Arabidopsis thaliana: one gene and its partners. The main gene of each other region encodes a partner of the protein of the gene in region 2 in a complex. Each region holds a gene or a part of one and is shown on either strand. Other genes may lie near its edges. The genes, in order: IDL2, SERK1, IDL1 and IDA. A codon is read from its position in the direction of its gene.

Region 1 (6,554 bases), on a different chromosome or scaffold from region 2:
GCCATAGGAAAGCAAATAGAAGATGGAGTAAGACTAATGGGTCGTGGTGCTGATGATATCAAATGGCCACTTCATTTCGAGGTTTATCATTTGCGTTATTAACTTTTGCTCTGTAGTCTCTAGAGCCGTTGCACCAGTCAATGTATTTGCTTAGTTAGATGTTCAGTTGATCGGTATGAGCGTGTTTATTACAGGTTTCGAGAGTGACGGTTAGGGCCAAAGAGGTGGTGGAAGCAGCAGGAGGATCAGTGAGAAGAGTGTATTACAACAAGTTGGGCTTAAGGGCATTGCTTAAACCGGAATGGTTTGAGAAGAAAGGAAGGTTATTGCCAAAAGCAGCGCGACCACCTCCTAAACAACAAGATAAGGTTGATAGCATTGGACGTCTTCCAGCTCCGAAAAAACCCATTCCCTTCTTTGCAGCTGAGGAGACCAAAGTTGAATCTCCTGTTGAATCATAATTTTGGGCTGCCATTTAACGTTTGATGTTTCTGTTTAAGTTGTTTGTGTTGTTTCTTGGTCAATGTTCACCACTAGAAAATTGAGAATGTCGGATTTTAATTTGACAAATAAGGTCTTTCTCGTTTTACTTTATCTGTAGTTGGCCACAACAAGTTATTCAACCATTTTCAGACTTGTTGTTTGGGATCAAGGCCTGTTCTTGTAGAAGGTTGAGAAAACCAGAGAACAATCACGTTAGATTTGAATTCATTATTATCCGGTTTGGTTGAGGCGTTGTTAATGTTAATGAGTTCAATGGTAACTTTGCTTTTTTTGACTAAAGATGCTAAAATCTGCAACTGCAAATATATAGGTTATGAGATTATGTCCCTTTTTTGCAGTGTTATTTTACCAAAACGATGTGCGAAATTTACCTAATTTATCGAAAAGGGGCTATGATTGTCTGAATTTGAACAACCGAACGTGATTAAAGAAGAAGAAGATAGATTTCGAGGTTTCAGAACTCATTACTCTTAACAAACATGTAATGATGAGTACTGTACTGTTAATTATAGCATTGATTATATTAAATAACTACGAAAAAAAAAGAGTACTCGATTGGTATTTTATTATCAAATAAATATGTAATTAGATCGGTTTATTTGTCTTTAAAAATGATCATTACGTATTTGTTTAAAATCAAGTGCAGTTCAATATCATACACTATATTTTAAAAATGTTTCTGTTTATCTTCTTCTATTGATCACACCTTTCTGATCTTATGTACCTATTGATGATCACCTTCCGGCATAAATGTCACGTTTAATGTCAAAATAAATTAAATGGCTATAGAATTAGATGCAACCTTGGTCCATCACATTGACAAATCACAATAGACATTTCAAAGACATTATTGGTTATCATTAAAACAAATCGATAGATCCCAAGAAAAAAGTCGATTATAAATCTCAAGACCATTCTACATCAGACTTTTTAGTTACACCATATATTTCAAACCTCTTTAAAGTTTAAAGATTTGATCTATTCTTTTACAAACACACATACAAATTAGTCCTTGTGATATAATATTCAAAGTCAATTTTCGAACTAATCATAAACTTTTTCAGATAGTTAAATTATTATTATAATAACAAGAACACGTGTATATCATGAGGATGATCGGCTCACACACTTTGATACGTGCAATATTACAAATTCGAGCTATCCAAAAAATAATACAACTTCCAATTACAATTTCATAATAATAAATCATATGTTTAGCCTTGTCGACATTAATCAAACAAAAATAACCATTTTCTTGGCATTACCAAAAAAAAATAAAATAAAAAACATTTACACCAACTTAAAACTCAAAAGCAAAGGGTAAAAGAGAGGAACCGGAATGAAAGAAACATATAACTAATTAAAAGAAAGAAAGAAAATAAAATTCAAGACCTTTCAAGCTTTTTCTCACGGAGAAGATCGATGCCAACTAAGTAAACCAATATCATTGTGTTTTCTGGAGGGACCAGAAGCTGGAACAGGGAAGTGACGTGGCAAGAACCCCAAGAACTGTTTAGTTGAAGAAGAAACGGCGTCGTTGTGCTTCTTGTGTGGTTTCGAGTTGAAGACGTTCGTGTTTGTTCTTGCTCCATTGCAGAAACCAAGAAGAAGAATGAGAAGAAGAAGAATGGTTCTAGTGAAGAAGGAGACGAAGAAACTAGAGGTGATTCTTGATCTTTGGTTTCGAGACGACATTGTTGAAGAAGAGAGGTTTTTTGTGGAAGGGTTTTTGGTGAATTTGTTCTAAATATAATTGTTGTGAAAGGACTTTATTTTTTGTTTGTTGTTGATGGGGAAAAAGGAGATTGCTGAATGAATTTGTTGACAGCAAGAAATATGGGCAGATGGAGATTGAGAGAGATAGATAGAGAGAGAATCTGACTAAGAAGAGGTTTTTGAGTTATGTTTTCGTGTGTATTTAATTACTTCTGATATATACTTTCTCTTTATTTTTTCACGAACTATTCAACTATGCAAGTAGTTGTAGACTTGTTGACAACTGGTTTTGGTCTACAAGCCGAAGAAACTGTTTGGTGGTAGATTTTTTTAGACTTATAATTGTTGATAGTTTAGGTTTATTGAAAAAATGTTGCAGGGCACAAATATTTACAGTTCTTAAATTATTAAGGCAAAATTTATGGTAACTAAGCACACAAAATGGTTGTAGACTTATTGTCATTAAGTGGTTTAGGTTAAAGGGGGAGTGTTTTTTACTTGACCCACATATGATCTGAAAAATTATAGGGAACGAAGATTTGTTTACTGAAAGGTATGGAAAGTTTTAATGAAATGCCGAGAAAATTAAACCAGAAACTTTTGATATCCTCCATATTCGTTGTCTTTCACTTTTATGCGAAAGTTATTAGAGTAATGAAAACATCCCATTAGTTTTCATCATATTCATCAAAAACACTAACGATAGTCGATAGCTCGCTTAAGATTTATATATTTCAAAACAAATTATCTTATGGAAATGGAGACAAGACGTTTGTACGGCGCAATAATGTGTTTTTCTCTTGTCAACAGTTGCATAGAATTATTCTCTTTTGCTTTGTATTTTCGACACAACTAACATAGTAATTTTAAAGCTATAGTGCTTTGGGAGGGATTATCGTAAAACTCTTGCTTAACAAGACTATTTATAAAATTGGAAAGTTCAACATTTACTTGCATGAAATTTTGAAATCACCTGTTTTCAGTAAGGTTTGAGGTTTTATAATTTTAAAATATGATTTTACAAAATAGTCCAGTTATTACATTACACATATAATCTTTCTGGTGGATAAGTTTAACATTACAAAAAATAAAAATCCAATTAATTAGTTGACTATAACCTCTGGTATATAATAATTTTCTATAATATTGACAAAAACAAAGGAAATAAAAAGATTATATAACAAATAAAGATAGATTCGTTTGTTTCTTCAAATGCCTTGGATGCAAGGTTTCATGTCACCTATGTTCAATGAATAAGAAAGAACGGAGAAAGTGGGCAAAGAGAAAATATTAATACAAAGTGATATGGTAAGGTAAAGCCTTTTCTATGTTATGTCAAGACTCAAAACTTTATATAATTTTATAGTTTTTTTGTTAGGAGAAAATATGACAGGCCCCAGTCTAAATATAGTGACCGATTATAATTATGTCACAACATTGCGACTATTCAATCTTTATTGCGAAATCTTCCTCAATTTAAGCTACTTCAAATGCATATATGTTACCATATTTTGTGTAGACACACGTATGCACACAGTCCATATATCAATCACCGTTCTTGCCATTTCAATCTCTTATCTAAGCTTTTTCCATTAGAGTTAATTAGAGTTCTTCATTCAATGCAACCTCTTCCCAACACTTATACGGTTTTACCATTTTTCATCCACTTTTGTAAAAGGAAATCTAATAAATGAAATTCAGAGCCATAAGTCTACTTGGCATACAAATTACAAAAGATTAATGGACATATATACAACAGACCAAATAGTATGTGATCTATTGAGTTACAAATTAATTAAAATTTGCTTTCAAAATTTTATTTCTTGGTTAACGTACATGACAAAGGTCAGAATAAATGATTATTAGACCTGATACCTTGTAATAGTTATCTTTTATGGAAATTAAATTAAAAACATTTCAATGAGTATGGAGTAAAATGACTCTTATTGTCCCAATATTATGAGAAGAAGTACACGAACAGAAAGTAAACTAAAATAGAAGAGTCTTGGTAATGTCAGGAACAACAGTTGAAATCTAAAGTTGGTCTAAGTCCCATACCTTTCTCTACTATTTCAAACACTGACTACGTCTTAGCTACCCTATTACAAATCTAGCAACCGTACTTCTCCATTATTATTTCATTCTTTTATTTGAAATAGTGTTTCAAAATTATTTTATTTTAGGCCAACACGAAACTGACTGACAATTCTAGCTAATCCCTAGATTGGTTGTACAGGTTTCTAGTGAAGTATAGTTATGGACCATTGATTAATATAATGTAGTATCATAAATATATACTAAACAATATACTAATGGTAATTGGGTGTGCTTTCTGATCACATCATTAGTAAGAAATCAACCGACATTTGTTTTGTGATGAATGTAATAAAACACAAGACGCATCACCATTCACACAAAGTTTTGTTTCATGAATTCAAAGGTGAATTTAAATGTAGTATGTGATGCAGACAAGAAGAGAAAATACTTTGTGAATAGCGAGTTCCGTCTTTAAACCAATGTTGTTTGTACGTAATAGTAAATAAATAGTTAAACTTTTTTACACTAGATATCCATTCGCCTTCATGTTCTCTAAAAAACCACAACTCAGTAAATCATTAACTAAATCCCAAACAACGTTAAATAGTAAACCAAATTTTAATAAATCTTCAAAATTATATTTTTAATTCCTCATTGCGCTGCAACTATGTGAACCCACAAATGTTACTTATAGAAAAAAATAAAACTACTTGAACGCACAACAAGTAATAACTAAAAAATATGCACACGTGCGATCGATCGTGTTTATACATGTGATAAGAATACATATACCTGTGAAGAAATCAACGTTACGTACTTAAATACGCGTATATAGTGTACGGAACGGTCGGGGTAAAGGTGGTGCGAGGCATGTCTCATGAGTCGAGTCACGAGTCACGGTCACAACTCATGAATCGTGAGTCATCAATGAATATTCATTGAAAGTGATTCGAGCATTCACATGATATGTCGCACCAAGTACCGTGTCCGAGGCTGGCATACAAAAAGCCTCATCCATATTTCCTATTATACTTGCATGTATAGATTACTCCAGACATTATATTGTGATTTCTCTTGTTTCGCCGAGAAATTAGTTTTTCAAAACATTTCAACGCCATTAAGTAGAAAGATTTATATTTTTGGTCCTTTTGGTTTGAGTAAAATAAATTGGGTCATGCGTTACAGAAATATAATAAAGTAATGATTGAATTCATAAATTTAATTTGTAGGTGGAGAGTGAAGACACTGATGATGTGGTGAGCTAACAAGTTCGTTAGCTACATTTTGATTTTCCGATGAATTAATGTTAACTTTTTCATAAATAATTATATGCTCAGAATTTATATTTCAATCATCTAAAACTTTTAATTAGTTTCGGTGCATCCACATCATTTACATGTCCAATTTTTTACTAAACATGTACATTTACTTAATCGTAAAAGAAAACTATTTATGGGTAAAATTTGCCCATTTTTTGTCGGAGACATAGCAGTTTAGTTTCAACAAAACAATAAATACGCTTTGGTTAGAAAATATTGGGTTTGACTTTGACCATCACAGTAGAACACTGATCGCACACGTGCTATGCTTTCGCGTCTCGTCGGTCATCTCACAAACTTAAAACGTCAAATCTAATCGCAAGAAGGACCAGTGGCGGAGTCGAAATATAGAAATTATTTTACCGGGGTCGAAATATAGAAATTATTTTAATAAAATATATGTAATTGTTTTGTTTTTCGAATTATATTGCATATAGGTTATGTGTTTTCTATCAAATTTACAAGAAAATATTATCATACTTTTGAATTTTTATTGGTTTGTATAAAACATGATAGTTGATATACTTAAAAAAAAATACCATTATAAATGGGAAAAAAAGATAAAAGTAAATGTGGTCGATGAATACAAGTAATTATATAGATTCATAATAATTAAAGAAAAAGTAATATTATACTGAAGTACATGAAAACATTGGTCACAAAATAAAAAAATAATAAAACTGATATATAATTGTAAGTGGTTATAGCCTATATTATTTTATAATATTCAAAATTTTATAGTTTAAGGAGTCAAAAAAATAGTTTCGACAATAGGCATTAGGGTCAACTTATAGAATTTTCATTAAATATTTATGTACTTGTTTAAATATGTCATAGTATTAGTTAAATTTTAAAAATCCACCGGGATCAACTGACCCCCATGCTACTATGCTACCTCCGCCCCTGAGAAGGACCACAATAAGATGGCGATTTAGACGTCAGGTTTGTGTCATCAAGAAAGTAAAAACGGCATGATGT
Region 2 (9,921 bases):
GGCGATTGCTTTTCCGATGAAGTTTTCGAATGGTTTTGTGGTTGATAAGAAGATGAAGAAATGGATTGATGATTGGCAGAAGTTGCCGTATATTTCTCCTTATGAGAATGCACTTCATCTGTCTGCGACTAGCGATGAGTCTGATAAGTGGGCGGCGGCTGTTTTGCACGAGATCATGAACCTTTTTGTGTCGAAGAAGGTTGAGAAAGATGCTATTTTGCATCTTGGTGAGTTTATGGGATTGAGATCGAGGTTTAAGAGAGTTCTCCATAATCATCCTGGTATCTTTTACTTGTCTAGTAAGCTTAGGACTCACACTGTGGTTCTTAGAGATGGTTACAAGAGGGGGATGTTGATAGAGAGTAATGAATTGGTGACAAGCAGGAACCGTTACATGAAACTCATGAATACAGTTAAGAAAGATAACAAGGCAGTTTCTTCGAGCAGCAAGAAAGAAGATAAGGGGAAAGTGGAAGGGGAAGTTTGTGATACTGATGCGAAGGCTGAGAATGATGACATTTCTGGTTCTGATGTCGAGGATGATCGTCAAGGAGACTTTGTTGATGATGACGAGGACGATGATGAAGTGGATCAAAACCAGGATCTGGAGCGTGGTCGTAGAAATTCAAGTCCAAGATCTGGTAGGAGGAGTTTTGGAAACTCAGGTTCAAGAGATAAGGCACAATCGAGGCGGAGCAAGATCAGTTTAAAGACTGAGAAGAAGAGGAGTCGGATGTATTAGAGACTTAATCCAACTTTACCGGTGGCTGCATTTTCAGCAGATTCGTTTCTTCTCCTGTGTAGTAATCTCACTCTATAGCTTGCCCGTTTCATTCTTACTTCTCAAGGGAGAAGAGTTTTTATAAAGAGTTCGGTTATAATTCCATGGTGATGCTCAGACCCTAAATCTGACTTCTCCAGTCGATTTGGCAGACTCATGATATCAAGTAGTTCAATTGCTAGTGGAACATTAGCATGAATCTCATTCATTAACGATATCAATGTAAGGAGTAACATTTATCAATCTCATTCGAACCATAAGAACTGTAAAATGAAGGACAAATTCCAAACAGAGACTACATTTATCAATAAATTAAGCCGTGTACATATGGAATTTTAGACATTGATAACTTTCTTGTCAAAATTTTCCCCCACAAAGCATAGAATTAAGACCACAACAACGAACACAGATAGCAACATGTCTGGATAGTATCTGCAAGTATTCTCCTCACTTGCCTATGTCACTTTGTTTTGGAACTCAGATGACTCAAAGACTCTAGCAGTGTTATCGACAGATACCGAAACAATGAAGTCCGTGTTGGTAGAGACTGAGATGGCCTGGACCGCATCTTGGTGACCATGGTAGGTATGGACGCAGTTGCCTAATAAGCTGTCCCAAATGCTCACTGTACCATTGGCACAGCCAGTGGCTAAGTACTTGGAGGTTCCTATCCAAGTCAGAGATGTCACACCTTCCTGTAATCGAAAAAAGAAGAAGAGAGGAGTTGTTTTAGTTTCAATATCTGTTTTGATGCTATCTCAGAGAAACTATAAGGGTTTATACCTCGTGCTCGCAGATGAACCTGGGAGTGGAATGCTGCAGATCCCAGATTATAAGCTTCTTGTCCATTCCACCTGTTGCAGCCAAAGGGATGGTTGCGGAGCTTGGTGAAAACTTCACACATTCAACTGAATCTGTATGAGAATTCAAGGAGCTCACAACCTGTTGGTATGATTATGAAAAAGTTAGATGATATGTCAAATAGATATGAGAAGCACCAACTTGCTTATTGAAATGATATAGATCATAAAACAATCCAGTGAAAGCTTGGTAACAGCAGTACAGTAAAGGACGAACCTTTCCGGTGACTATATTCACAATGTGAACAGAACCGTCTTTTGAGCCACTGATAGCAAGACTTGAGTTCGAGTTAATGTCTAAGCATGTCAATCCTTCCGTATGATAAGGATGACCTACACAAAGCAAGAAGTTAGCATTTTAAACCAGTCAAAGAAGGCGAAAGATTTAGTATTTGTGCAGTAGTAACATGTTTAAATTTCGCTTGCCTTTAACAATATGAATGCTTTCACAAGTTTTTGGGTTCCATACTATCAAACTTGCATCATCAGAGCCAGTACAAATTAGTTTACCTACAGTACCCACACACAGTCAAACAATACAATTAAAACAGGTAGACTCAATTAGATAATCCACAGAAGCATATAAGGTAGAAGCTTATATCAATACCGTCAGGGGTGAAGTCACCACAAGTAACATTTAGATTATGGCCCGAAAACATATTAAGATAAGCTTCTTTATCAGCATTCCACATCCATAGAGAACAATCTTCTGATCCAGCCAACACAATGTGTCCTCTCGGATGCCATCTCACCCACTGAAAAATACCACACAGTAAGTACTAGATTTGGACCTGAGGATCTCAATTACAATGATGATATAGGACAAGTTATTTATACCTCGATTCCAGCACCAGGACCATCCAAAACACATTTCAAAGTCCCTGATGATGCATCAAAGATCTGTACAACACCATCTAATCCTCCAGAAGCAAGTAACTGTCCATCATAGCTAAAAGCTAAACAAGAGACAGAGTCCTTGTGACCAGGAAGCTCAGCAGCCCAATCTCCATTACCAATTTTCCAGAGAAATGCTTTATCATCTCCACCTCCAGTTGCAACAAGTGTAGCATCTGTTGGACTACAAGCCAATGCATAAAGCTCACCTGTAAAAGACAAAACTTTCTTAGTTTCATGAAAGTTAAAAAACATTTAATTGAGAAATAAAATGATAAAAACGTTACCTTTGTGACCAGTGAATGTGTGAACAGAGTCATCGTTTTCATCTGAAAGTAAGATTTGGTAGAATTAACAACCATAAAATTTCATATTGAGGAAACACGAGGTGGTGAATCTGTTACCAAATTGTTCACCATCATCGTCCATATCATCATCATCTGCTTCAGGAAGATCTGAATCGAAAATAGAAGAGTCACATACACATACACATATATACATACGATAAAAAAATCACGATTGAAGGAGATAAAAAAAAACCTTCTTCGTCGACATCGATTTCACGGAGGACATCGGATTCACCAAGGAAAATCTCTCCTTCATCCTCTTCTTCCATCGCTAGATTATTCATCTCTGTATTATTAGTATTATTACTCATCTTCTTCTTCTTCTTCTTCTCTCTCTCACCACAGTTTTTTCCAGCCGCGACTAAGAACAGGAAGAGGACGGCGGAGATGAATGGAGGTGTGACGTGTCACGATGATGGAACAAGAAGACACAAAGTACAAAAACCCTTCTTCTCTTTTTTTCCCAACAAAAACCCTTCCAAAAATTTTTCTATTAAACGACGTCGTTTGTATACACAAAAGTGAAACGGCGTCATGTGAGTAGCGCATTATAAATAAACGACGCTGTTTCGCTTTTGTGTATTCTAACGACGTTTAGTAGAACAAAATTGAAAGGGTTTTTGTAGCAAAACAGCGGAGTTAGTTTAACGTATTTTTGGATGTACATATATTGTGTTCATAGTTCATACTTCATACAATAGACAGTAATCTTACACAAATCTTTAGATTACAATTTTTTTCCCTTTTAATCGAACCATAGCACAAAATCACAAATCTTTGAATGCTAGATTTCATTTTACATTAACAATTAAAAAAAACGAAAACTTACGGGTAAAAAAACTACCTACCTTGTAAAATTTGTTATTGTTCAATAATTTTATGTTTTTTTTTTTTACCTTGGACCAGATAACTCAACGGCGTGCAAATTGTAAGTAGAATCAAGAATCCAATCAGAGTTAGGATTAGGACTCAAATCAATCTCTTCCCTCAAAATCTCAACTTTTTGCCATTCGTCCCATTTCTCCGCAAGCCCATCTCCTTCCAGCATCCTTACAACTTCAGACATCTTTGGTCTTTCCATTGGTGATCCTTGCGTGCATAGCAACGCCACTTGTATCACTTGTTCCAGTTCTCTCTCCTCGTAGTTTGTTTGAAGATCTGGATCCACTAACATCTCTAGCTTCTTCTCCTTCAACAATCCTTTCACCTAAACCAACAAACAAGTATTTGAGATTAGATTCTCGTTTCAATGGTTTTTGTTGGGGTCAAATGGAAGTTTTATGTTGTTATTACCCAGTCAAGTAACATGACGTCGTCGTCGTTAGCTAGCCGAGCGAGATCGAAAGCTCTTTGTCCTGTGATTAGTTCTAGAAGCATGATTCCGTATCCGAAAACGTCGGTTTTCTCTGAAGATTTTCCGGTTGAGAGATATTCTGGAGCGATGTGACCGATGGTGCCACGGACTGCTGTTGTCACGTGAGTGTCTTTATAGTCCATTAGCTTTGCCAACCCGAAATCTCCAACAACCGCTTCGAATTCTTCGTCTAAGAGGATGTTTGCTGCTTTTACGTCACGGTGAATGATCTTCGGATCGCAGTGATCATGTAGGTAAGACAAACCTCGAGCTGAGCCTAGCGCGATTCTCTTCCGCGTTGGCCAATCAAGCGGAGGTTGTGACGGTGGCCTCTCTGTGTCATTAGTGTAACCAACAATTATGAACCCATAAAGGAAAACATGAAAAAACACTTCACGTCAAAGTAATTGAGAGAGAGCACAAGATGTTTAGTTTTTACCTCTGAGACACGAAGCAACACTTCCATTGGCCATGTAAGGATACACAAGCAATCTCTCGGTCGGTGTCATACAGAAACCTCGTAATCTCAACAGGTTTCGATGAACTGCCATACTTATCATCTCTACTTCTGTTTGAAACTGGAGCTCTCCACCTGGAGTTCGCTCTTCCTTCAGTCTCTTGACAGCAACAAGAGTTCCGTCTGCCAAGCGTCCCTTGTAGACTTTCCCAAACCCACCTCTGCCCAAAATGTTCTTGTTACTAAACCCATCACTCGCCACTTGTAGCTCCCGCAAAGAAAACCTCTTGAGCTGTCCCAGATGAACTTCTGGATCTTCTTCGGCTGCAAAGAGATTTTGCAATCGAGATTTTACTCAAAAGAGTTTGTAACTTAAAAAACAATGACTTATGTATTGATTTTCATTAACAGTTGTTCCAATACTTTTCTGCAAAACAAAATTGCTGGCTAAGAACAGAAACTAATGCGAATAATAAACTCACCAGGGACATCGAAGAAAATATCTAGTGGCTTTCTTCGTCGCCACCAAGCAAAGGCTATTGCAGGAGCAGCAAAGAGCAAAGCAGCACCTGCAGCAACTCCACCAGCTATTGCTCCAGTTATACCATACCCACCTGAAATCAAATTAGATCATTTGGTTATTGCCTTATTGGCAAGATGAGTTATATGAGAAAAAGGATTGACAGAGAAGCAAAGATTTCATCTTCTGTTTCCTATAATGTAAACTAAAAAGAGGAGGCTTACTCGGGGTGGAAACTGGGGGAGGTTGAATAAAAGGTGGTGGAGGAGAAAACGGGGGAGATCCAGGACATGGGTGACTTGTAACAGGTCCACATAGGTCTAAGTTATTAGCAAAACTGCACAAGGAAATGAAAGTTTCAGAATAAGTTCAGACACTGACACAACAACTGAAATAACTGAAGAGGATAAATCATAGAACCTGATGGGTGTGAAGAGTGAGAAGGAGCCATTGTCAGGAACTGAACCAGAGAGTCTGTTATTTGATAGATCTCTGTGTTGCATCCATCAAGGTTAAGTGCATTAACTCAACAAATCAACTGAGGGAGAATGAAGTAGACATAAATGAAAGTTAATGAGAGGACTCACAACACTTGAAGGGTAGTAATATTGGTCAGTGACATAGGAATTGACCCAGTGAGACTGTTGTTGTTAAGCCGGCTATTCTTGCATGTAAAATTTTCAGCAAAGAGTCAAAAATTGGAACAAAACCTAAGATTAAACAAAGACTGTAACTGAGCCGGTAAAGCATATGTATACTCACAGAAATCTCAGCTTTGAAAGCTTTCCCAATGATTCCGGAATAGGACCGGAGAAGCTGTTTAAGTAAAGATCCAAACTCACTAAGTTTGTCAGATTTCCAAGATTACTAGGAATCGGGCCAGTTATGTTGTTACTGTAAAGCTCCCTGTAAGAAAATAAGAAACTTGTTAAAAAGATTTCAATTACAAAAGGTAACTCCAGTGCTTCTTCTGTCAAATCTTGGATTTGTTTTGTTAAAGCATGATGCATAAGTGGAACTTACAAATACTGCAAATTCTTGAGCACACCAAGCTCTGGAACTAAATGGCCAGATAACTCTGCATTCCCCAAATCACTGTATTTGACAAAAGAAACAAAAATGTCGGTAACCACGCTGAGGTCAAAGTTTAAAAAGTGGGATTAGTAGAAGAAAGCTTTACACTCTTATGACACTGTTCTCGTTGTTGCAAGTGACATGGAACCATGTGCAAGGATTCACTAGCGTAGGATCCCAGCTCTGCAAGACATTGTTTGGATCAACTAGAGTAACCCTCAAAGTATGCAAAGCATCACCTATAACAAGAACAACAAATCTACACAATTAGCATCAATTGGTGAAAAGTCTAATTTCAAGAGAGAACTATTCAAACAGGCCTCTCTGAGATTAGAGGCTAATAATTAAACAAATTCTTTACAAAACCAAAAACAAATGAAGTCTTTCAGAGAATGTTTGGATCAACAACATCAATCTTAAGATATCAAATAACCCAGCTTTTCAACCCAAAGAACATGCCTTTACAATATACAAAGTTGATCTGAACAAGAAAAGCAAAACAGTGTATTCAAAGTACTAGCCACTAAATCTTACAAATACAAAGAACAACAACAATTTTCATAAATCAAAATGCAGACACTAAAGATAGCGATTCACCTCCAAATAAAAAAGAATCGAGAAAGTAATTGAGAAACGAGTAAAGCTGAGTAATTGAGTAACCACGAACCTTCCAAATTAGCAGAAGCAAGCCACAGTGAATGATTCGGAAGTAAGATCAGTGAAAGTAAGATAAACACCACATAACTCGACTCCATTTCAAACAACAATGCTAAATTTCGAATCTTGATTTGATCTCTTCAGATCCGAGAAAACCCTAACTTCCGAAAATCACCACCATTAACACTTTACAGAGACAACCTCAACACAAACTCACTCATTTTTTCGATAACCCTTTTAAAAACCCATTAGCATTAAAACAAACAAAGAGTAAAAAATAAAATCAAAATCCTAATTCTCCGGCGTTCTCGTCGTCGTCTTTCCTCAATCAAACCACACTCTCTCTCTCACACACACACTGTAAAACAAAAGTTGAATAAAGATGAAACTTTTTTTTTTAAACAAAAAAATAAGAGCTTTTTGGGGAAAATCTACGTGAAGTAATAATAACAAAAGAGCTTTTTATTAAGCCGCAACAACAAGCCTGCCAGAGAAACTATGATTAGTGTGTTGTTGTTGTTCCTCTCTTTTTCTTCTTATGAATAAAATAGCTTTTTCGTTGATATATTATTTAATATTTTTAAAGATCTCAACGGGCTTTATTTATGGGCATGCAGTGGTGTAGAGGAGGAAGACGAGGAATATAAGCTGCCCGTAACGGTGCTGCTGCCCGAACTGACCGGTCAAAAAAACGGGTTCGGGGGAGAGAAGAGATGGTTGAAAGTGACATCGCTTTGGGTTTGGGGTAAAGTAGTTGAAAGCTCTTAAGGCTATGCACCCGTTTCTCCTGGTCAAACCTCTCTCTGTTGGGTCCCTTTTTTCTTTAAGTAGAAAAACCTTTTCTAAATTTTTAATGCAAGTAAGATTCGTAATCCCGTATTTATGAAAGTAAAGTTAAAATGTTAAAGAGGTTCACTATCATGTGAGCAATCTCATACCAAAAATGTGAATTTTTTTTTACAATGGTTGTGAATTTTGTGATTGATAAACCATGCAACAATAAAGATATTAGTGTTTGCTGATATTCTTTCTAAACCCAACTTTGGCAGAGATGAGATTGAAAGATTTGAGTTTTGTCAACAAAAAATTTGGTGGAAGAAACTGTAGAGACGGCAAAGACAAAATTTGGCCAAGTTCCACTGTGGAAGTAGTATGGCGTGCCCGATATGACTTTACTACTGTTTCATCACAATACCATTAAACAGATACTTGTCTTATCATTTAAAAAAAAAAAAAAAACTGCCCATACAATTTGAGTAGAGGTAAAAAGTAAAATAAAAAGCAGATTACATTTGTTACCCTTTAAATATCACACATTATGCTTACCCCATGTGGTGGATGGACTCTTTATTTTCATTATGATCAAAAGGTTTCTAGAACAAAATTTAATTAAAGTAAAAAAGAAACAGTCATTTCAGAAAATATTTCAAGATAATGCTTACAATTATTTATTTAGATATTGTGAGTGGCTAAATCAGCTGCCAATGAGTGAATTTACAAACTTTTTTATAATCCCCAACATTTTTTATATTCATGATAAAAATATGCTTCAAATTCAAAATTTCACAAATCAGAAATAATTCTAAAAACAATAAGAGCTACCTTGTTATGAAAGAGAAACGAACTTTAAGAAGATTTTATCAAAATTAAATGAAACAGTAGAATTAAAATTTGCGACAAAAAAATACGCCTCCTAAATACAACGGGATAATATCCTAGTGCAAGTGGCCACCGAGCGTTTCAACTTTCAAATCCAGGAATAAAGGTAAGAAAAAGAACAAAACAAGAGAAAACACAGAATTTACAGAGGAAAGATACCATGCAAAGAAAAAGAAGACATGGACGCAAACGCCATAATTTGGAGAAAGAACATCATCTCAACTAGAAAAGCAGTTACGGACGCAAACGCTGAACGCTGTTTTACAGATTAAGTGAGTTTTCGCCACATAGATCCTTTGGAAGCAGTTAAGCACTTGACTCTCGGGAATACAAATCCTGTCTTTGGAGGATTACCATCTACCAGTGTGTTCTCATATATCTCTTTGCACTCTTGTACCACCTGTTTTCATCACCATAACCATTTCGTCAATTTAAGAATTCTTCGCCATTTGAAGTCTCGTAACCATAGTTTAAAAATCCATGTGATTCGCTACAATTATAACCCAGCATTTTCCAAAAAAGAGAGTTTGGTATGTTTACCTCTTTTGTGTCCTTCCGTGGTATGCCTTCACGCAGACTAACAAGCTTCTCTACGACCTCGGCCTGCATACCATATATTAGAGATTCTGTGTATACTGATATTGTAAAAAGCCAGAGCAGGCTTTGTTTAGATAATATTTACCGGGCAGTCAGGCTGGTGCTCTAGAATATTCGAGTACACGAGTGTAAATGCATCTAGACTCTCTGCAGATGCAAGTTCTCTCAGATCGCTCATTATTCTGATTCTGCTCTCCACTTTCTGTAACACAGTTCCAGTGGAAATATTAAGCAATACTTCAAAGAAATATAAAATTATTCAGGTTAAAAATGAGTTAAGTGCTGAAACCAACTTACAGATGCACTTATATACTCCCTAAAGAAATCCATGAGAACCTCTTCATCTAGCCTCATCCGTTCAATAGTTTCTTCCTTGATGTAGTTTTTCTGGAATTACACACGTCAACCCCAAAGGTTCAGTGTTTGTGTATGCTGATGAAATATAAAAGGTAAAAATGCTTGAGAATAAATGGGGGAACCTGAGTTAGGAGATGGTCAACATAGACAACGACTGTTTCTTCCAAACATGCTTCGACAAATCTTCTAAATGATCTTTCTTCGACATACCTGCATCCAGTATTCACCACGACATCTTCAATAGACTTGTAGCATTTTTGGCTCTTGTTAAACAAAAGGGGGAAAGAAAAACTTACATTTTCACATCTGTGAAATAATCACCGAAAGTTGCCACGAGGTACTCGGTAACCTGTCCCTCGCACCA
Region 3 (6,182 bases), on a different chromosome or scaffold from region 2:
TGGATTTTAAAAACTTAAAAAGACAGAAATTTCGAGTTCTGGCGGGATCCATCTGGCAAAACTTGACTATCAAGCAAAAGCTCTTCTAGAGATTTGGAGTGGCAAAGAAGAATAAAGGAGGAACATTAACAACGGAAAAACATTGGTCAATTATAGAAAATTAACAACGAAATTAAAGAGACCAAAAGTCAATATCACACTTGAGAAAACGGAAACAAATCATTCATCAAATCATATGAAAAAGGAAAAAGAAAAAAGAAACAACACAGCGAAACACAAAGCTAGGGTTTTAAAAAAAACTAGGGCTTTGGATCTTCGTGTTTTGTGTCAGCCTCAAAAGCCCAAGCGTTCTCCTTGCGAATCGCTTCTTCTTCTTCTTCATGTGTGAAATCATTCTCGATATTAAAGAGTTCTCGAACTTCCTCTGGCGTCTTATCTTTGATGTAATCTGCAACAGTCTGGCAAGTGAGACCAAGAAGACCTTCGACGTTGAGATAGTTAGCAGCGAGAATGAGCTTGAAGATTGTTTCCATATCAATATTTTTCATGAACTCTGCGTCCCAAGCATCGAGATTCTGCTTCGCCTCCTCAGATGCATCATCTCCTTCTTCAGTTGATTCAGGAACCGGCCCGCCACATCATCGGGCTTCTTCTTCTTCGGCTCCTCAGATGCATCATCATCGACCACATCGTCGACGTGTTTCTTGCAATACTCGAGAACGATGGAGAGAATATTTCCTGTAACGTTTTGAAGAGGGATTTCGTTAATAACACAGTCGTCTTCGAGCAGGTGCTTTACGATCTGCAGTTTTCGTGCCACCACTTCCTCAACTTGGAAAGACTCGCCATCGGAACTAGTCAACACAATCTTGTTAGAAGACATTTTGTTTGCTTTGTGTGTTAAACGAAAAAATAAGTTTTTGCTTTTATTTTTTGTGCAGAGAAATTTGATGAGAGATTGTTGAATGAAAAATAAAAGAGTCGATGAATGTGTTTATCTATAGAAATCCTAAGAGTCGGTCAATTTGTGTTTTCCTTTTCCAATTAGAATTAGGTTTCATGTTGTTTCCTTTTTCTCAAGGAAATAAGGAAAATAACGCAAATTCTAACTTAACTAGTTTGTTGGGATTAACCCCTTTTATTGGATCCGCAAAAGAGAAAGATATTTATTTGTAAAATTTTATATTTATATATCTATATAAAATATCAAATTTATATCTTGGAAACTTATAAAGTATTTATTTGTATAAAAATATTTTTATGTTTAAATATAAGATCAATCCATAATACTCATATAAGTTCTATGCAATGACGATTGTAACAAGCTAAAAATTATAAATCACAAGATATGTACCATCCATTTTGATCCAAAAGAGTCAATGTACTAATTCATGCTTTGTTTCTTCCCTGTAAAGCTATTTGTAGCAGACTCCAACATGATTACGTATATGTTTTGGTCCTCATGTGTTGTTCATTGCTTTGGTTCTCATGTGTTGTTCATTGCTTTGGTTGATAAAGATTACATAAATGTTTTGGTGTTTCAGATCCCTGAAATCATCAGAAGGTTTGATGAGAAGCGTTTCACTTTGAAGGGTAACTGATTCCAAACTTGCTTCTAGTGATTTGATTATTTGATTTTGAGTCAACTGATGAGTGAGGATGTAGAGTACATGCATGAAGATGATGAGTGTTGAGCGAGATTTGGCTGAGAAGCTCACTACGAGGAGCTGTCTGGTGAATTCTTTGAATTTTTATTATTATTAGGCCAAACTTAAAGAAGCCCATCTCATACGAATAGACGCAGGCCGCAAATGGGCTCATGCAGTTCACTTATGCAATCCCAATGGATCTATATTACTGCTGAGAGATTTCTACAATTCGCAAATTCCATAGCTTGTGAATAGAAATTGTCTTGTTCATTATCAATTTGAATTTTTGTTCCCATAACAAATAATGAAAGATATAGTCTATATACATACGTATAACGTTCCAACCGAGATATTACAAATGTGAATGAACTCATTAAATACAACTTTAAGAATCTTTTCGAAATACAATTTCATGTAATTGTCAAAAAATTTTTGAAGCAAATCCTAAGAGATTGAAATTAAACCAAAAGAAAAAAAAAACAGTTAGTGTTTGAGATTATTCACCACAGAATTATGTCTCATGGAAGGTCCCGAAGGTGGTACAAGTACCCTTTTAGAAAATGAATGGAACACACGACCTTTGAATGTAAAACCCCCAATGATCTCTTGTCTTGATCTTGTTTGAACTATTTCCGTTTCAGAAAGCTTAATCGGTCCGATCCTTGCCGTGGCGTTGTATGAACCAAAAATCAAGAGGAAAACAATATAAAGAGTCATAAACATGGTTTTATGAGAAAGATTCATATAATGTTCGGAGAAAGAAGAAGAATAAGGAGGAGGAGACACTAATTTAGCTATTAGCTAGGGTTTTATAAATTTTGGATTTTAAGAAGGCGGTTTAAGTTTTGAGATGTATATATGAGCGTGTATATATATGATATATCATGTATGAAAGTATGCACATTCTTGTATGATTGGTCAAACAAGAAAAGCAAAAGAAAAATAAAGAAGTGAAGCGCAAGTAATGGAATGTTAGTATTTTGTGATAATATTAAAAGGTCAACGATACTACGATAGTGAATAAAAGACTTGAAATGCCGCGTTGGACGATGGTGTACGTACGTGTGATTACCTCTAGTTGTCTGTCAAAATTTAATTATCAAACATTATTGGTATTATATTGTGTAAAATATAATTTCATCATCAATTATGTGTGTAAAATTTAAATTTTTGTAAGAGAATCACGTTGTTGTAGACTTTGTATATTATATACACATTATGTGTGAACAAAAGAACAATGCGTACGTGATTGTTTAGTCCAAAGTTAGGTGCCAATGACTATCAAATCATTTGGTCTTCGATTTTGAAAGAAAAGTAAATTCTATTTTCCTTTTTCTTGTAGCTTTTTAACATGATCTCTTGAGAAGGACTTGCGTAAATAGTTTGAAGCTAACCACCATGTATAGTCCATAGGCCAAATAAACAAGTTTTGTTTAAAGAAATTATTTCCGTTATTAGGGGTTACCAAACAATTAATTTATCATATTTAATAGTTAATTATTCACCTGCAAATTATTTGTGGCACCTAATATTTAAATTATTTATCAGCACATAATTTTGTTCTGTTATAACAACTAACATAACATTTCGTCCAACAAAAATCTCTTTTCATAGGTTAATGTGTTTATATATTCATGTGACAACTTTCACGGAGTAGACGTAAATGTCAAACCATGCACACGCATGATCCGTTGGATTTTGATCGTCCACTGGAGACAGATATTCGTCTGGACCACTAGATTTCTGAGATTTTAATATGTTTGCATAATTATAGGTAATAACATATGATTTCTTCAGAATTATTCTAGAAATTTTAAAGTAGTCTATACTTATACTCTAGCACCAGAGTTTCATTTTATAAAATGCCAATAATCTATTTGAAACGTGTAATGCTTTTGACCATTTATTAAGATTTGTGTTGGTACTAGTGGACAAATTTTAAGTTTACTTACTCAAGATTTATAACAAAATATACAAATTTAAATATTGTGTTAATCAATCATGATACAACCATAATTAATAATAATCATGTGCATGAATGCAATGGCAAGGACTTCTTTTCAGTTGATACAATTTTTTAGTTTATTTACTCAAGATTTATAACAAAATATACATATTTAAAAATTGTGTTAATCAATCATGATACTCAACAATAATCAAGTGCATGAATGCAATGGCAAGGGCCAAGGACCAATAAATCAAAAACGAATAAAAGAAAAAAACCATCCCCATTTAGGAGTACCAAATAAGAGCATAGAGACCAAGAAGAAGAAGAAGAAAGAATACGTATGTGGCCCATGGGGTGTATCTACATTTATATTATAAAAGAATTGAAGTACAATTACAATTGATAAATCCGTTGCTTAAACCAAGCATGAAATGTAAACGCAAAAAGAGCCTTGGTGGTTACATGGTTAGGCTACATTGGCTAACAATGGAGGAACAAAGCTCGATCCTTTAAGAGTCTGCTCAAATATGTGACCCACTTTCAGCAATTTCTCCTAAAACCAATCAACAAATCATCATGTGAATCTTAATCTAATCTTTTAGAGTAAGCAAAGAGACAGAGTTTATAACAAACCTCATCAAACGCTGCTCCGATCATTTGAAGACCAACAGGAAGACCCGAGGGACCACCTTCGACTAATCCACAAGGTAATACCATTGCAGGAAGTCCGGCAAGATTCACATTGACCTGCAACAAACCTCATATGATACAAACTATGTTTCGTGTAACAACGATTAAATAGAGAAAGAAACTACGAAAGATTTTTACCGTCATAATGTCTCCAGCATACATTGCCAGTGGATCATCTTTCTTTTCACCAATCTTGTATGCAGCAGATGGAGCTGCCGGAGAAATAAGGATATCGTTCTGTTCTAACGCTGCTTTGAAGTCTTTTCGAATTAGTGTCCTCACCTGTATTAACAACCAAACAAAAAGAGCATACATTTATCTATCAAAACAGGTTCTATTTCTATTGACTGCATTTGAAGATGCGGCTTACCTGTTGAGCTCGCTTGTAGTAAGCATCGTAGTAACCCGCAGAAAGTGCATATGTCCCCATTAAAATTCTCATTTTCACCTTGAAATCAAAATTGTCATTGATTATAATCAAGCATTTGTTGATTAAATCAGATGGAGTAAATTCTGAAATCATACCTCTCCTCCAAATCCTTCTCCACGGGAACATTCATACAGCTTATTGAGTTCTTCAGCCATAACTTGATTACCATATCTTCATTTCCAATACAAGAAACAATATCATTTTCTATATCCATGATGCACTCATATTGTGAGTCAAGTCATAATACCGAGATTACCTGACACCATCATAACGTGATAAATTCGAAGATGACTCCGATGAGGCAATAACGTAGTAAGCTGGTAGTCCAAGAGAGAATGAAGGAAGGGAGACCTGTAAATTTTGGCAACAAATCTCAGAATTTTTACACAAAAACGAAAAAGAAAAACTGAGACAAAGGGAAAAGTGAAAATAACCTCTGTCAATATACAACCCAATGCTTCTAAGTGAGACGCAGCTTCCTGAGTAGCAGATCTCACTCCAGAATCAACACCGTCTTCAAGTGTCTCGCGAATTATACCAACTTTCACTCCATTCAATGGTTTAGACTCAAAATGATCCACAGATAGAAACTGAGACTGGAACTCAGGCACATCCTGAACAAAGAGAAATATGTTTCTGTTTTCAAAGAAAACATCTTTCGTTCATTACAATGCAGGAAACCAACTACAACAAGAGACCTTACTTGTTTGCTACTCGTGGAGTCAAACCTATCATACCCCGAAATAGCATGAAGAAGCATCCCAGCATCAGCAACCGTAGACCCAAAACACCCAATCACATCCAACGAAGACGCATAAGCCATAAGCCCAAACCTAGAAACACGCCCATAAGTCGGCTTAAGACCTACAACACCACAAAACGAAGCTGGCTGTCTCACACTTCCACCAGTATCACTACCAAGTGACACCATACACTGCCTTGCTGCAACAGCTGCTGCTGATCCTCCCGATGAACCTCCCGGTACACGACTCAAATCCCACGGATTCGCAGTTACCTTTAAACCAAAACCAAACCCCAAGATTCAATCCCTATACCATCACAAGCTCCCCAATAAGACCATAAATAAAGGCTCCAACTTTATTAACATTGCTGAATCATTCAATCCTAAACCATCATCACAAGTCTCCCTAACAAAACCATATTCATCTATCTAAACATGCTCCAAATTTATTAACAATCATCACAAGATTCATAAGACAAACCTGAAAAGCAGAAGCTTCAGTGGTACTTCCCATTCCAAACTCATCCATATTAGTCTTACCAACAACAATCCCACCCAACTCTTTAATCTTCTTAACCGCCGTCGCATCGAACGGTGGACGATAATGCTCTAAGATTCTCGAAGCAGCAGTAGAAGGCATACCTTGAGTACATATATTATCCTTAACGCCGATCAAAACTCCGGCGAGAGGACCCAATTCCTCACCTTTAGCGATTCGTTGAT
Region 4 (6,708 bases), 1.2 Mb from region 2:
TCCATCTCTATCACCTCCCATCCAAGAACCAAATTTCATAGGAGTGCATGTTAGTGGAAGTGGCTTCCCTGTAAACTAACCAAGAAAATACAAAATATCAATATTATCTTAAGATAAAGTATAACGATTATTCATATATTCTAGATACCTAAAGGTAAAATAATACCTTCTTCAAGGAATTGCTGACACGACGCAGGTATTGTGGTACTGCTTTCCAAAGGGATTGCTCCACTATGTTTAGACCTAAATGAATGAAAAAGAAAGAGAAATAGTTTTTTAGAGTGAAACTTTTCTGTACTTTACAATTATATTTAAAATACCAGCTCTAGCTTCATCAACTGGAGTAGGTTTCTGACGTCTAAGCTCATCAGTTTGCCACAGTGAAGTAATCTCTCTAACCTTTAAGTATAAGTAACTCTTAGTTTATAAGTTACTCTGCTGATAAAATTTATATGGAAGATATTGAGATGGAGTGTACCAAATCTTCAATGAGCGTTTCGCGATCTTCAACGCTTAGATCTGATCTAGTGTTATATTCTAGAAGATGCTGCAAGAACCATATACTTTTAACTCTCTCAAGTAAAATTAAGAGATATAATCCATATATGTTAACATCATTAGAACTAACTTACAGCAATTCTAATATGCTTGTACTGCAAGGTTCTTCGATTTATTTGGGTAGGATGAGCAGTAAGAACAATTTCGACCTCCTAAAGCGCGATAAACAAACAAATATCAAATAGAGAAAACAACACTCAGATACGACCTTTGTGTTAGATAAAACGAATTGAAATGTTTCTAAAATGATACAATATGAAGTAGCTAGACCTGTTTGCAAACAGTTTTATAAAGTTCGTCTGGAGAGATTCCACTTTGCAATAGCTGGCTGAATATATCATCACAAGATCTTGCAAGTTGTGTAACGTTATGGACTTTGTGCATTCTGGAATAAAAATGTTTATTATTAGAATCCACAATGTTTAAGTTTAGAATTATCTATTCATGTTTATTACTTGTAATATTTTTGTTGTAATGTGATTACAAAAATCATGACCTGTGATGAGTGTCTGCAATGCCCATTAAGTTAAGAGAATGAGTGAATGTACGAGCCAACGTTAAGGCTTCTTCTAGTGGCATTTTGGATATTTCACTAGTCAATTGCTTCTCCAAAAGGTTTGCGGTATCCTCAATACCAGCCATACGCAAATTTAACGCACTCTGAAACATTTAAAAACCACACAAAAATAAGTCGTATCATTCATATTTGTTTCGATAAGTTGATTGATCTATATGACTATATCTCTTATTACTACGATGTGAGATTCTTATCAAATGATCTAAGCATATGGAAGCGAATAGACAGAAGATGAAACCTGAGCAAGAATCCGAATGCGTTCGACTTTTTCCATGAATGGGTTGCCAACTTCCCTTTGTAACACATCATGGAAGAGACTACCGAGCAATTTGCAGTCATCTTCGAAGCTTTGGAATGAGATTTCCTCTGCGATATCGTCTGTTGTGTCCGTCATTGTATCAATGAACAAGGTGAAGGAATGAATAATTGCAGTGATCAAAGTTAAATATTTTGAAGAGTGATTATATATGGTTTGTTAGCTATGGTGCTTAATTACTAATTATGGTGGTCAACGCAGTAAATTATGGCGTAGTTAAATTTGTGGTGCTAGTCATCTTTCCCCAAAAAAATATATTCTTATTTCTTAAGCTAATTTTCTTCCTTTCCAAACTAAACAACAAAACAAACAGTTGATATATTATAATTAAGAAGAAAAGAGAAGGAAATTCTACGATTTTTTTTTTTCTTTTTTTGGGTAAAAATTCTACGAAAGGAGTAACTGGTTTTAACTAACTCTGTTTTATCTTTGGACCTACAATTTATTTTGTGCCTCTTTGGTGATTGTTATTTTAACATACATTCTTATGATCGGAAAAAAAAACTAAAGTACAGTAAATGACATATAATTTGGCTAAGTCTTACTATCTAACAAATGACTACTCCTTCTATTTTTTAAGAAAACATAATAAATGTTGATTATAAATACATTATTTTTTATGTTTTACAGTTTTCTATAACTCAAAAAACAATGATAATTAATTTTTTTTTTTTAATTACAATTCATCAATACTAACCAATAAATATTGCATAAAAAACTTAAAAAAATCAATATTTTAGAAATAAATTTTTTCTAAAAAAATAATCATTTATAAACAGAAAAGTATATGTATATGTTATTTTTTACATAATCGTTCTCGTTATGGCAACATCATAAAGAACATATATTATATAATATCATCTAAATTTTTTAATAAATAAAATGAAAACAAGTGCAATGGAAAAAGAAACAGCGATAATTGTGTACAGCCAATCACACCGACACGGCGACACATTTGCCAACACGTATATAAACGCATAACCGATACGACATCGTTTTAAACTCAAATTAAGTCAACAAAACTAAAACACGACAAGAAAGGGTTTCACTGTGTTCGATAATAATGTCGACAGGAGAAGCGATACCAAGAGTCGCCGTCGTCGTTTTCATTCTCAACGGAAACTCAATCTTATTAGGTCGCCGCCGTTCCTCAATCGGCAACTCCACTTTCGCTCTTCCCGGTGGCCACCTCGAATTCGGTCTCTCTCCTCTCTCTCTTCTCTCTTTATATCACCCAAATCTTGATTTGATCTAATCTTTGTTCTTTGATCAGGAGAGAGCTTTGAAGAATGTGCAGCGAGAGAAGTAATGGAGGAAACAGGTCTAAAGATTGAAAAGATGAAGCTTTTGACTGTTACAAACAATGTCTTCAAAGAAGCACCAACGCCATCACACTACGTCTCTGTTTCGATACGTGCGGTGTTGGTGGATCCAAGTCAAGAACCGAAGAATATGGAACCAGAGAAGTGTGAAGGATGGGATTGGTATGATTGGGAGAATCTACCAAAGCCTTTGTTTTGGCCACTTGAGAAATTGTTTGGAAGTGGTTTCAATCCTTTCACTCATGGTGGTGGAGACTAATAGATGTAAGAGTTAATGATTGATTTGGGATTGAATGTTGCAAATTGGGCATTTGGTCTAGTGGTATGATTCTCGCTTAGGGTGCGAGAGGTCCCGAGTTCAATTCTCGGAATGCCCCTCTCTTTTACTCTTTTTTATTGTATTTTTGGTTTCTGTTTTCCTAATTAGTAATAAACTTATCATGTGTCCTATCGATTTTATTTCTCTATGTTTGATTATTACGTTCTTAAGTCTTAACTCAAACATTGACCTATTTGAGAAAGACGAATGATATAACTTACAAGTTGCATAAAAACATATGTTTGATTAGCGTATGATGAGTGAGGTCTATGGAATATTCTTTAGTAGAAGGCTAACAAAGCTTAATCGATTTCTTGATCTTTATATGGCCGTAATGACCTTAAACATATATTAAGTCTATAAACATAAAAAGGAACAAATTCAAAAGTAAATATAAATCGTATGCATATACAAAGAGTATAATACCCTATGTTGATCTAATCTACAAAACCAAACCTAAAAGAATACAATGAATAAAATAAAATGAAATCAATGAGGAAGAGAGTTAACAAAAGAGTTGTGTCTCTTAGAAGGAGCAGAAGGAGGAATGGGAACGCCTTTAGGTAAGTAACCAAAAATATGGCTGTTTTTAAACGTTAATCTCTTTATATTCTTCTTCATCTCCATGGTGGCTCCAATTCTTGCAGCCGCTACACAAGAACTACTCGCCGCGAGAAACAGAACAAAACAGAGCAGAACCATCATCGTACGACACGGAGCCATTTGGTAGTCAATGTTTTTTTTCTTCTCTTTTTCTAATTTTTTCACTTCCACTTCTTTGAGTAAATGAATGAAGGGTCTTATGAATGAAATGAATAATGTGTATGTATGTGACTATGTGTTATATTTATAACATGTGTGTGTGTGGATTTGATTGGAAATAAGTGTGGCGGAAATGAGGGGGAAGTCGGGGAATGGTAAGAGTGGAGTGAATCCCACGCTATTGAGACTTTGAATTTTCCTTATTATTTTATAAGAATTCTAAAGTTTTCAAAGGTTTGAGTTTTTCTCGTTGTTTTAGTCACCGCCTTCGACTTTTATTTTCCTTTGTATTTTTCTATAGAAGTCCATTTTATGCTAGGAAATGGGAATCTGGTTTGATGGGATGGTCGTTTTTTTCAAGATTTCATCATATATGTACAAGTACGTTGACGGGAAGAAGAATAATTAATGGTTTTATAGGCATCGTCACCATGAGCTATCTTTTGTTTTCTTTTGCATTATTCAACTTTCAACAGTAACTATATCACAAGATGTATGAATAGTAAAGCAAGATTAGTTTTCGAAATTCGAACTCAAATATCAGACATGACTCATGAGCTTTCTTTAAGCACACAATATATCATATATGTCGTGCAGAAAGAAAATTAGATATCATCCTTGGACGAATGACGAAAGTGGTAGACAATACACGTATGTATAGTAAAAGGATTAGACTAAATGATAACATGTCGTAGGTTAATCATGATACGGAATAAATAATAATTTAGTTAAACGAATATACACATAAAATATACTGAAAAATGCATGCATAAAACACGTAAAAACAATGTATACCAACTCTATCTTTTGCGTGAGAAGGTATTTTAAGAAATTAAAGAGAGAACAAAAAGTAGCTTGGAGGGTTGACTCAGTTATACACAATTTTACAACTTGACAAGTGGCTTTCCATGATTCACATTTTTCTTTAAATTATGCCAAATTTGATTTGGATATCCACCTGATTTCTGCATCTATATCGGACTTAGTCACGGATTATTATTTTTACCTAAATAGAATTTTTTATATTTCCTTTATGAAATGCCAAAATAAAATAAAGTTCCAACATACCTCCTACGATTAGACATGTCGCATAAAATCATACAATTCTTCTAATTTGATGGAAACAGGTAGATCTTTACATATACTAAAAAAAAACAAATTTTAACTAGGTAAGAACCGACCGTATCATACATTGAATCATTGATACACAGTAAATTTAAACTAGGTAAGTCTGTTATTTAATTTTATGATTGTATGATCTAAAAAAAAAATACTTGGAAGTTTTTCTAATGAACTTCGAGATATCAAAACTATATTTTGTAAATACGCTAAATAATTTAAAACAAAATAATGCTATAGAAATAAGATGCAATAACAAAATTGAAAAGACCACAGCTTTGTATCATTCCAAGTTTTTGTTATCACAAACCCTTTGATTCAGAACGAGGGTTCTAATATTTATCTGCCTTAATTCTCTTACATTGGTTCACTCCGAAAGGAACATGATCGCTAAGGTTCTTGGTCTCATCTCCGTTGTAACACAGATTAGGGTTCCCCCAAACACCAAGTCTCCTTCCCATTCTCTCATAAAAGTACCTAGAGAATTCCAACTCTCCGCTGATGTTATTTCCATTCACGTAAAGCGCGCTGAGACTAGGCATTTCGGTTTCCATTTGTGGAATGAGTTTGCCTCCGAGATTGTTGTTGCTCAAACCCAAAAACCTCAGTTTCTTGAGCTCCAAGATTGAACCAGGAATCTCCCCTTTTAAGCCTGTGTTGGAGAGATCAAGAACCACTAAATTCTTCAGATTTCTCCACTTTATTCCTGTCAAGTCCCCGGCTAGGCGATTATTGGACAGAACCAGTTCTACCAAAGAAGTCATCTCTTGGATCTCTTTACTCAACCCACCTGATAATCTGTTGTTTCTCAAGTCCAATAGAGTGAGATTCTTCAAGGACTCTAGCTCTCTAGGTAACTTTCCTTCCAAGTAATTGTTACTAAGATCAAGTTTCAGCAGAGAATACAATCCTCCAACGCTTAAAGGCAACGCCCCAGATAAGAAATTCCTGCTCACATCCAATATCAACAATCCGGTTAACCCGTAGACCTCAGGTATTCTCCCTGTGAACCGGTTTCCAGACAGTACTAAACGTCTCAATCTGGTTAACTTGGCCAAATTCACTGGCAATGGACCTGTTAACTTGTTTTCTAGCACCACCAGAGATTGAAGGTTGGTGAGGTTAGTGATGACAGAAGGGAGTTCACCTATCAGTCCCGGGTTTGATCTGATCTCAAGTCTCTCCAAGCTTTTAGAGAGATCCAACCACTTTTCATCGGAGATTGAAGCTAGATATCGGTTAGGCGTTGTGAAGCAGTTGAAAAGAGAGAGAGACTTGAGGTGCTTGAGCTCAAAGAGTTGTGGTCTGATCACTGGACTTTCAGAACAAGCAAGAGAGTTGTCTTTCATAGTCCCAAAGCTTAGAGCAGTTACATACCAAAGCTCATCATAGATATCACAAGTCACACCCTGCAGAGTTAAACAACAGAGAATTACATCAGCTACTCAACATTTTCAACGGCTTCCGAATTCAATAATCATAATCTTGATAGGCTTAAAACATTACTAAGATAGTTTTTTGTTGTTTTTTATTGATAATCAAAGAATAGTGATGAGAGAAAGGACCTGGATAGGAGTCCAGCCACAAGGGTCAGGATAAAGATAAGAGCCATTCCAAGATTCACCAACAAAGCCTTGAATGGTAGAGTATAGAGCAGCTTGCTCTGTTTTCTCCATGGGACTTCCATCACTTTCCTCTGTTTCTGCTTTGCTCCAATCCACCACCAAACACCACA

What was found.
Region 1: the proteins of SERK1 (region 2) and IDL2 are in contact, whole or in part, in a crystal structure (PDB 7OGQ), measured with the Arabidopsis thaliana proteins. Residues at the interface, in NP_177328.1 of Arabidopsis thaliana: Asp51 (codon at 6,464), Thr53 (codon at 6,458), Leu54 (codon at 6,455), Val55 (codon at 6,452); in NP_001078796.1 of Arabidopsis thaliana: Arg80 (codon at 1,962), Lys81 (codon at 1,959), His82 (codon at 1,956), Asn83 (codon at 1,953).
Region 3: the proteins of SERK1 (region 2) and IDL1 are in contact, whole or in part, in a crystal structure (PDB 7OGO), measured with the Arabidopsis thaliana proteins. Residues at the interface, in NP_177328.1 of Arabidopsis thaliana: Asp51 (codon at 6,464), Thr53 (codon at 6,458), Leu54 (codon at 6,455), Val55 (codon at 6,452); in NP_566774.1 of Arabidopsis thaliana: Met75 (codon at 2,171), Arg76 (codon at 2,168), His77 (codon at 2,165), Asn78 (codon at 2,162).
Region 4: the proteins of SERK1 (region 2) and IDA are in contact, whole or in part, in a crystal structure (PDB 7ODV), measured with the Arabidopsis thaliana proteins. Residues at the interface, in NP_177328.1 of Arabidopsis thaliana: Asp51 (codon at 6,464), Thr53 (codon at 6,458), Leu54 (codon at 6,455), Val55 (codon at 6,452); in NP_564941.1 of Arabidopsis thaliana: Lys66 (codon at 3,620), Arg67 (codon at 3,617), His68 (codon at 3,614), Asn69 (codon at 3,611).

What each region holds. Positions count from the first base shown.
Region 1 is NC_003076.8:25,846,442-25,852,995, reverse strand, and holds IDL2 (inflorescence deficient in abscission (IDA)-like 2), read right to left. Parts: upstream 2,488-6,554; 5' UTR 2,200-2,487; coding exon 1,912-2,199; 3' UTR 1,621-1,911; downstream 1-1,620. Other genes in the region: AT5G64670 (Ribosomal protein L18e/L15 superfamily protein), read left to right, coding at 1-81, 195-461. UniProt on the Arabidopsis thaliana protein: May be involved in floral abscission.
Region 2 is NC_003070.9:27,015,696-27,025,616, reverse strand, and holds SERK1 (somatic embryogenesis receptor-like kinase 1), read right to left. Parts: upstream 7,460-9,921; 5' UTR 7,043-7,459; coding exon 6,955-7,042; intron 6,527-6,954; coding exon 6,394-6,526; intron 6,309-6,393; coding exon 6,237-6,308; intron 6,120-6,236; coding exon 5,976-6,119; intron 5,873-5,975; coding exon 5,801-5,872; intron 5,706-5,800; coding exon 5,634-5,705; intron 5,551-5,633; coding exon 5,438-5,550; intron 5,308-5,437; coding exon 5,176-5,307; intron 5,018-5,175; coding exon 4,676-5,017; intron 4,571-4,675; coding exon 4,176-4,570; intron 4,090-4,175; coding exon 3,775-4,089; 3' UTR 3,500-3,774; downstream 1-3,499. Other genes in the region: AT1G71850 (Ubiquitin carboxyl-terminal hydrolase family protein), read left to right, coding at 1-742; AT1G71840 (transducin family protein / WD-40 repeat family protein), read right to left, coding at 1,237-1,476, 1,565-1,723, 1,859-1,974, 2,068-2,151, 2,249-2,396, 2,479-2,744, 2,823-2,864, 2,940-2,990 and 1 more; SEC6, read right to left, coding at 8,872-9,003, 9,144-9,206, 9,286-9,402, 9,498-9,587, 9,680-9,767, 9,854-9,921. UniProt on the Arabidopsis thaliana protein: Dual specificity kinase acting on both serine/threonine- and tyrosine-containing substrates. Phosphorylates BRI1 on 'Ser-887' and CDC48 on at least one threonine residue and on 'Ser-41'. Confers embryogenic competence.
Region 3 is NC_003074.8:9,335,577-9,341,758, forward strand, and holds IDL1 (inflorescence deficient in abscission (IDA)-like 1), read right to left. Parts: upstream 2,500-6,182; 5' UTR 2,394-2,499; coding exon 2,133-2,393; 3' UTR 1,855-2,132; downstream 1-1,854. Other genes in the region: SK15 (SKP1-like 15), read right to left, coding at 300-587, 638-883; AT3G25660 (Amidase family protein), read right to left, coding at 4,064-4,150, 4,231-4,344, 4,426-4,569, 4,658-4,735, 4,813-4,888, 4,974-5,068, 5,152-5,331, 5,421-5,732 and 1 more. UniProt on the Arabidopsis thaliana protein: Involved in an ethylene-independent separation step of floral abscission. May act with RLK5 and HSL2 as ligand-receptor pairs.
Region 4 is NC_003070.9:25,826,576-25,833,283, forward strand, and holds IDA (Putative membrane lipoprotein), read right to left. Parts: upstream 4,207-6,708; 5' UTR 3,816-4,206; coding exon 3,582-3,815; 3' UTR 3,342-3,581; downstream 1-3,341. Other genes in the region: PPC4 (phosphoenolpyruvate carboxylase 4), read right to left, coding at 1-75, 167-243, 321-399, 479-547, 633-710, 829-943, 1,055-1,218, 1,374-1,529; NUDX1 (nudix hydrolase 1), read left to right, coding at 2,515-2,650, 2,725-3,032; AT1G68780 (RNI-like superfamily protein), read right to left, coding at 5,306-6,382, 6,539-6,708. UniProt on the Arabidopsis thaliana protein: Involved in an ethylene-independent separation step of floral abscission. Promotes abscission zone (AZ) cells rounding. May act with RLK5 and HSL2 as ligand-receptor pairs.